Linked DNA regions of Caenorhabditis elegans. The protein of the gene in region 1 interacts with the protein of each later gene in a pairwise test. Each region holds a gene or a part of one and is shown on either strand. Other genes may lie near its edges.

The links.
Region 2: the proteins of ZC455.1 (region 1) and F14H3.12 interact in a two-hybrid assay, tested with the Caenorhabditis elegans proteins (one large-scale study listed by BioGRID).

Annotation. Positions count from the first base shown.
Region 1 is NC_003283.11:12,771,492-12,776,585, reverse strand, and holds the start of ZC455.1 (LIM domain protein), read right to left. Parts: upstream 3,065-5,094; coding exon 3,006-3,064; intron 2,779-3,005; exon of another isoform or gene 2,777-2,778; coding exon 2,663-2,776; intron 2,590-2,662; exon of another isoform or gene 2,458-2,589; intron 1,216-2,457; exon of another isoform or gene 1,210-1,215; coding exon 1,083-1,209; intron 522-1,082; coding exon 355-521; intron 1-354.
Region 2 is NC_003283.11:16,073,428-16,077,060, forward strand, and holds F14H3.12 (non-specific serine/threonine protein kinase), read right to left. Parts: upstream 1,897-3,633; 5' UTR 1,877-1,896; coding exon 1,680-1,876; intron 1,010-1,679; coding exon 892-1,009; intron 848-891; coding exon 734-847; 3' UTR 690-733; downstream 1-689. Other genes in the region: srj-10 (Serpentine Receptor, class J), read right to left, coding at 1-82, 133-233, 281-529; srj-29 (Serpentine Receptor, class J), read left to right, coding at 2,232-2,519, 2,560-2,619, 2,959-3,065, 3,112-3,199, 3,245-3,361, 3,402-3,633.

The DNA.
Region 1 (5,094 bases):
AAGTAGGGGGCCCTATGTGGAATGCATATTTTAAGAATTATCATATGGTCTCGAGACATGTTCTAGCGCGGGATCTAAAATTAAAATCTATGAATATCTGAAAGTATCAATTATCTGAAAACATTCTTCCTCTATATTTGTGGACCACTTGACATTCACCCTCAATTCAAGTGATCATCGGCATCCCACGCTTGTCTTTGTTTATACGCGTGTTTTCTGTACTTGCTCCGTTTCTTTCATCTCTCCTCTTTTACACTGTATATCTTTCAAAAAATGTCATTCGTACAAAACACAGTGTTCCACATCGTTTACGCTTATCCTCTCGGAAATATCTTTCTTCGTAGTTTGACTCACCCCAGATCAAGCAAACCGACACTTCGTGGACGTTCTCTTCGTTTACTGCGTATCTTCTTCGAGATGTTCGAGTCAGATCCTTCTTGACGCTGAAGAAGAGGTGGCAGTGCTAATCGGGGCTCTGGTCGAAGAACAACGTGAGGAGTTTGATGATATTGTTTTGAATCCTAAACGGTTTTTATTGATGATCAAGACACGAAAGATCAATTGAAGAGGCTTTTAAAGAGGTTTTGGTCGGTGTGTATAAGAGAATAGGTTAGCTTTAGAAGTTCCGAACATTCTTTGAATTTATTGTTTAGTTGTTTAGCTGATCTGTGTACAAACCTATTTCTGCGAAAAAAAAGTGTTTTTAAATTTAATGGGGATTTACAATCTTACGTTTCTAAAAATTTTGTATATTTATTTTGGAATCAAAATTACGATTTTAATTAGACAAATTTAGGAATCTAAGTCAATTTATAAAATTTCAGTATGCCTTTCGGAGGCTTCAAAAAATTTTTGTTATCATATCGAAATAATAAACCTAAAAAATAAATAAATAATTAGAAAAATAATTTAGGAAATTATTAAAGATTACTTTCATTTATTTAAAATCAAAACAAAAATTTGCCAGACTATGAATCAATTTAAAAATCTTTCGTCTGAAAATTTGCACTAACTTCAGTTTAAAACCTGGTACACAATATGGTTTTCAACTTTAACTAAATAATTAAATTAGTTAAATATACCTGCGATGTCAATGAAGATGGCCTGGCATATGGACTAAATGCCGAATGCTCGGACATTGGAAGACCACTGTTATTACTGTTATTGTTGATTATTGTGGTAGTTGCACTTCGAGGAGTGTTTGACATCCTGAACAAATACATTAATTCAAAGATATCAAATTTCATATTCACACATTTTCACAAAATACATCTGAACTGTTTCTTCTACAATCCCTTTCAACAGGAGTTGAATATAAGGTAGGAATACGAGTAGAAGAAAACAAAAAAATAACAGTAATCAACAAGAAGCCGAACAAGCAATGAGCAAAGGCAAGCCGCTGAGGAGCAAATGAATAGAAGAAAGTTCACAAAAAACTGGATGCTTGACACAAAGCTTTCCACACAGAGAATGAACGATCTTCTCGTCTCGGAAAGGCATTTCTCTGCGTTTCTAACTACAGAACAATATTATTTTTGAAAAAAAGTCTCCTTGTAAGGAATAGGTACTGGTTTTTGATGCGCATTTTATGTTAGAAGTGAATGGAAAATGTGTCAAAATCTTGACATAAGTAACTACATAATATCCATGCAAAGAGGAATTTGAAAAAAAACTTGAAACTCAGAGATTTTGTCTTAAAACAGAAATAAAAGTAAATGTCAGCTTACGCTATTTTTGAATAGTGCTGTAAACTTTTGAAGCTCTTCAAATCAGGTTACTGAATTTTCAGTCGAAATTGCAAATAATTTTTTTTGTTTGTTTTCTATATTTTCTACAGATTTCTAAGTTTCATTTGATAAGTTTCCAAAATTCTCTGGGAAAAAACGAAAAATATTTAACTTACATATTCTTATTCTATTCATTACTAAGTTTGTCTCGGCAAATTTCCACATCCAACAATTTTTTGAAGAAAATTCCCGAAACTATTGATATTTTTCTTTAAAAAAAACTAAGAAAATAAAATTAAATTGCGCTTATCCTAAATTTCAAACAAAATAACGTACTAAATTTTTGGTTTCTTGTGTTATTTTGTGTTCGTTCAAATGTTTCTAAGTCGGTTTTTATATCAATTTTCAGAATTCGCAGTGCTTGGAAATCCATCGAAAAAGAAGATTTATCAAATTTTCTGAACGACCAAAATTGACACTATTGTAGATACAAATTTTCTAAAAACGATTAATTTTATAAAAAAAATGTTACCCAGGTATATGTATTTTAAAATACTCTTTTGATTTTTAACTTTCTTTGAAAAAAATGAACAAAAAATAAAATTCAAAAGCTCTACTCATAACCGCAATCAAATTGCTTCACGTCATGCTTGATAGAGGACACAAAAGCGGAAATGATAAAGTCATAATGTGTGGAGAATCTGGCAAGAGCACTAGACTGCGCAATCCGTATCACAATTGGATCGGATATCACGTCAAACCAAGGCAAATCAAACGTTCTCTCATTTCCGGCGTCTCTCGATTTTGCGAAATATCCATTTCTCGATCTTTATTATTAAATAGGAGAAAGTTCTCGAGCAAACGAGACAGGTAAATAGAGATAAAAAGACAAGATTATCATTTTCAATTAACGGCTATACATTGCTTGAACATACCTGCTAAAACTACTATTATTGTTGCTGAATGACGTGGCGATTGGTGGGAGATTTGAAAATATTCGTTCCGGTGCCACGTAGATGGCCGCTGGCTCGTGAGCAGATATATCGCATCTGAAATATTTTCAAGTGATTCTCTTACTATAATTCGATTGTTTTTTTTTCAAATTCAAAAATTCGTAACATGGAGCTTTTGAGAATTTGTTTAATATTTTCAATTTAGAATTTAATATTACTTTCTAAAAAACCTCCGAATCTACATATAAGTTTACAAATCTTATTGAAATGCTTTATTGTATTCTGTCTTCTAGTGTTAGTACAATTAGTTTCTTAATCTTCTTACCTACAAACGGAGCATCTCCTTGAGCCACGAACTTCTGCCACAAACAGGGAACATGACATTGTGGATTAGATGTTTTCTTGTCACTTCTTCTACTTATTTCTTGTATTTGTACTTCAACTTCTTGTACTTTTGTGTTTGTTGTGACCTATTTTGACTAGAGTCTAGAGACAATAAATACAGAAAATATTCTAGAATAGAAAAAGAAGAAAAAGAGAAAGCATGACTGGAAGTGGACGAGAGAGAATGATGTATTATCAATACGTGAAAGAGCTTGGGTTGGAGCACTTGAGACTCCTTTCCGCGCGGAAACAAAAAAACTTAGAGGTATTAGATCAAGAGCCATGAGCACAGAAGGCAGAGCAAAAGAGCAAGAGTCGCAGATGATTGTTCAAAATCAAAATCAGCAGAAACAGTAACACAAAAACCATAAATGAAACAAGCATTTGTCCATGGCATGTTTATGAGCACGGACACAAAACCGCGTCAGAGTTAGCCACAGATTTGCACCGGAGAGAAAGGCCAGCATGAAAGGTAATCTGTCGGGTAAATAGTGTGATTCTCTCGTTTTCATGTGTTGGCAGAACAAAATGAGCATGTTTAGCAGAGGGAAAAGGGCAAATTTTATTGAATGAAATTTCAGATCATATTCTAAGCCGGAATATTTAACATTTTAATGAACTGCCATTTGTGAGGATTTTACTTCAGAAACATTTCCACTAGGACTGGAGTTGTCCTGAATAACTTTTCCCAATGCCAATAATCAAAACTGCATCCCTAAATTTAGATAGTTTAAAATATGAAGATATTTCAAAAAGAAACATGCAGAAAATTTATTATCAAAGCAAAAATTATTGATCGCCACAGTTTAACACATATTAAGTATAAACTTTGAAAACCAGGCAGTGTTAAAATATATAAATTCTTTAAACTGTTGAAAAAGTTATATTGGATAGATTCACAGAGTTAAATTGAAAATTGGCCAAGAAAGAAGATACCACTGTTTTGAGAAACGTGATAAAGTCAAAAAAAGGTAAAAATTAGATTGGGAAGAACGCTCAAAATTACACAGTTAAAACCATTTTCATTATTTTAGTAAACTTTTAATTCTACAGAAACTTTTGCGAAATATTTCCAAAATATCTCAGTCGCTAATGCATCTTATATGATCTTCCCATTATCCCTAAACGATTCGTTTTTGGTCTCACTGAAGTTGTAAACAACACTCAAGTACCAAAGAAAGTGAGTCACAAGGTTGAGTATATAATGATCTGTTTTTGTAATTATGACCATACCCTAATTAAAAAAAACATTTTCTCAACAGTTTCTAAATGATAGTGTTCAAATTAAAAGTGGTGAATATCTAACTACTAAACATTACAAAACTTTTGAATTTTTTTAAATTTACAGTCAAAAAGTGGAAATTTCTCACGGTAACTATCATTTTGGAACTCAACCAAAAATTTTAAATTAATCGATCATTATAGAGTCTCAAACCAGCAGCGATTCTCAAAATTGCTAAAGAAGTCCAATTTTTCAAAATCTTGGTACTTTTCCAAAACTGACTGAAAGTTTGAATTTTTTTGAAATGGAGCGTTGAAAATTTGGTCAAATTGGATTATATGAATTAAAAGAGTTTTAAAACAAAATCCCTTTTTACCATAAAAGTGAGGAACAAAAATCTAATTTTCCAAGAATTTTAGAGTGACTAAATGATAATAAAAATGAAAAAATAGGTAATCGATAGTTAAGTGAGAAATTGCGCGGTTTCTCTGGTTATCATTGTGGTAAAGTTCTCCTTACTTTTCATCTCTAGAGCTCTCGGCGTCTCACACATTTCTCCCACTATTTTTCACAAAAACGCGCGACTTCAACTACTCGTGTATTCAAAAACCAACACAGATGTTGAACATACCACAGACAGGATATAGGTACTGTAGAGTAAAGGCGTCAAAGATAATACTGTGTAGAAATGAGCGAGACGCAGCATGTCATGGCTCTTGACTGCTCGTCACAGCTTTCTCAAACTTCAATGACTATCGTGTTAGACCAGGTTGCGGAGAAAAGATTTTCAAACTGTTTCGTGTATTTA
Region 2 (3,633 bases), 3.3 Mb from region 1:
CCACACAATACCATGAGAAATGAGGAAAATGAAAAGACCAAGAAGCGCCCAGAAACCAAGTTTTTGATGTGATATTTGTGTGCTAAATTGTTGTTAAAGATACAAAAGTGTATATGAAAAACCTATTAAAACAATACAGAGTATCGATAGACAAAATGAATAACTAGGATTCCGTATGAGAGAGAAATGAATCCACATCGGACGGAGAGAGCAAATTGTCCAAGTTTTCCTGTCTGGAAAATAAGTATCTTTTGAACCAAATGTTTCAGTCTAAACGTGCCCCATAAAAAGGCCCACCGGATACAAAAACTGCAAAAGCAGCCCCTGTCCCAAAAATAGACATAGGTACAGCTAACTCCACCAATGTATAAATTATATCAAAGCTGGCAAAGGTGACCAACAGGTATCGATAACTTCCCAGAGCAGTAATGTTTTCATTGAGTATTAGCCAGATGAAAAATGGATTCAGAATGAAGGATAGTACCCCAAAAACTTTTGGAAGATAGTAGTGGGTCCAGTGGATGTACATCAACGAAACAAGTATGCCAATTTTTATGATAGGTTTAGAAGGAAATCGCTGTTGAATGTTGCCACTGAATAAACGAAGACTAACGAGCACTTTAGGTATGAGTGACTCCTTATTTTTGCACGTTTTTTGAGCGCCAAAAGCAAAAGTATCTAGTTCGGAAAAAGTATTTAATTTATTCAAGGGACGTATGAGAAAAACTAAGAATTAAATATCAAGCTCTTCCGATATTTTCGTAGTAATGTTCTTGAAGTCGCTCGAGCTTCCCGAAATTCGTTGAAAATGAACTCCATTCAAATACAAGCGTGGTAGTGTGCAGACCTGAAAGAACTAGGTTTTGGTAACAAAAAAACAGTTATTTTGACCTCGATATCCCACTTTACTGAAGCATCAGTGAGAGGATCCACATGACTGCACCGAAGAAGGTATCGTTTTTGTTGTTCATAATCAATGCCATAGCTTTCAAGAACTTTTTGAATTTCTCTGAAACATATTTTACAACGTACCGTGGGGTACCGAAATTTGAGACTTTGCGTTTTTAGACCCAAAATAGTCCAAAACTACCGAATTTCGTAATGAGAAGTTCTGAAAATTTTTTTAAAAAAAGTTATGGCCTCTCAAAATTTTGGAGAAAACGGCCTATTTTTAGCTAAAATCTCAAATTTTGGCAACTTATCGCTGTCGCAGCGGTTGGAACTTAATTTTTTTTGATTATCATCCTTCAAAGCATGTTTTGGCATTTTATTACGTGTTGTTTCGTTTATTGAGACGCTTTTTGGGCCGATGGGGACGGAGAATTGTGTCATATTTGCGTCCCCATTGGCCAAAAAATATCTCAATCAACGAAATAACACGTAATAGCATGCTTTAAAGGATGATAATCAAATAAAAATTAATTTCCAACCGCTGCGACACCGATAAGTTGCCAAAATTTGAGATTTTAGCTAAAAATAGACCGTTTTTTCCAAAACTTTGAGAAGCCATAACTTTTTTTTGAAAAATTTTCGCAACGTCTCATTACGAAATTCGGTAGTTTTGGACCATTTTGGGTCTAAAAAAGCAAAGTCTCAAATTTCGGTACCCCACCTTTAAGAGCGCGTGTGATAACAGATTTCGAAAAAAATATCCGTAGGCAGGTACGTAGTTTCCTTACTTTAAAATTTCATCCGGTTCCAACATCGACGTTTTCTTCAGACTCCAAGTAAACCTCACTGCTCGCGCCTGATCTTCCTGATCAGCAGTCTCCAGCGCAAACCCAAACCGCTGACGAATTGCAGTCAAAGTCTCTGACGCTTGCTGCCATTGGAATGCTCCAACATTTTCATCGCACTCTTCAACTGGTTCCATCATTTTTCACTGAAATTAAACATATTTCCAAATTTAATAAAACATCATACATTCATCACCCGGAAAAAAAGAGTGAAAAGGGTCAATCAATTTTCTCTAAACAGAGATTAGCAACGCCAGAACAAATAAAAATTGAAGTTCATTTCCAAGATAGCACACAAAAAATATGAACATTATTGATAAGTGGAAGTGGCGAAATTTATTTTTTGTGGCACGTGATTCACTAGTTGATAGAAAAAACTAATAGTAAATTGGAAGCTGCTTTGCTCAAAAAATGAATTCTTTATGACGTTGTTTCGAAAATGTAGCAGGATCATCTGATCAAACTAAACAAACTTTCTTCATAGAATAGTTCCTCATGCGTGGACACCGTCTGCTCTGTGATCACACATTTGCTGACAAAAATAATATTTACAATATTTTGAATAACTCTCTTTCGTTCTTTAAGTTTTGGAAAATGCGAATAAACTGGATTCACCATTATGCCCCTAAAATAAGTGGCTCTTGCTCTTTTGTCATCAATCTACTGAGCATCTATATTGCTCATGATGAGAGAAAAACTCATCTGGGTAATTATAGAATTTTATTAATATTTTTCTCAATTTATAACATTTTAAATTCGACAATCGATGTGTTCATGCCAATGGTAAGGAATTCGGTTTTGCGGTCCTAACTTGTTATTTCAGTCTTCTTTGGACTATAAATATGCATTTTCATATTTTATTACGGATGGAATTTTCGAAAAGGTAGGGCTTAGCAGCCGACGTTTTGCGGGCTCATTGAAATTTGAAAATGTCTGTTTTTGTGAAAAATAGTTTTTTACAAGAAGGCCCAAAGTAAAATTACTCTTGTGAATGTTCTAAAATCAGTTCAAAATATGAATTTTATGAGAGCAGTGTAACATGTGCGCTGCAAACTTCTACAATTTTCTGGCCCTCTTTGCGAACTTTTTGAAGCAAGTTGTCAGCTGTTTATAACACGTTGCTACTTCTTGAGGTCCCATGAGATATCGGCCGCTATTATTTATGTTAAAAAAATTTGGCGTTAACCGAACTTTGAACACTGAGCAGCCACATTTTTTTCAGAAATCATTATTTAGAACAATTGCTTTATGCCTTAGAGGTAGCTTCATATTCGCTACATATCCAATTTTACATGCACATTTTTTGTATCGGTATATGGTGCTTTTCAGGTATCTATTAACTTTTCAAGGTCAGTATTGCAAATATCATTTTCAGGAGCACCTTTCTCTCTTCATGTTTCATTCCTTATGGTATAATATGTTCAGTTTCCTATTGCCTAACTATCATAGGTTTTACATTTACGGTTAAAAATTAAAGGTTAAATTCAACATTTTATGAGTTTTTTTAGATGGCCTACTTCTGGATGGTGGCTGATACTGAGCGGTTGACATATATGCAAAATATTTTCCTGGAAGAGTTTAACCAAAATGTCGATGATTTGAATATTTTTATTGTGATTTACCATGTAAGCCAATTGGAAGGTGTCTGATATTACTTTTTTTCAGGAGACTAGTCCAGCTGTTTTGTGGAAGTCTTGGAGTGCAATACTGATATTAACTACGTTATCCGTAATTTCTCTGGTGATAAATTCAATTTTCAGTATTTTAATCATTACAAAACTGAAAAGTGAAAATTTGTCAATGAGCAACACTACAAAACGTCTGCAGAAACAATTGATAAAAGCTCTGATCACTCAATCAACTATTCCAATTCTTGTATGCTTTACTCCATGCTTAA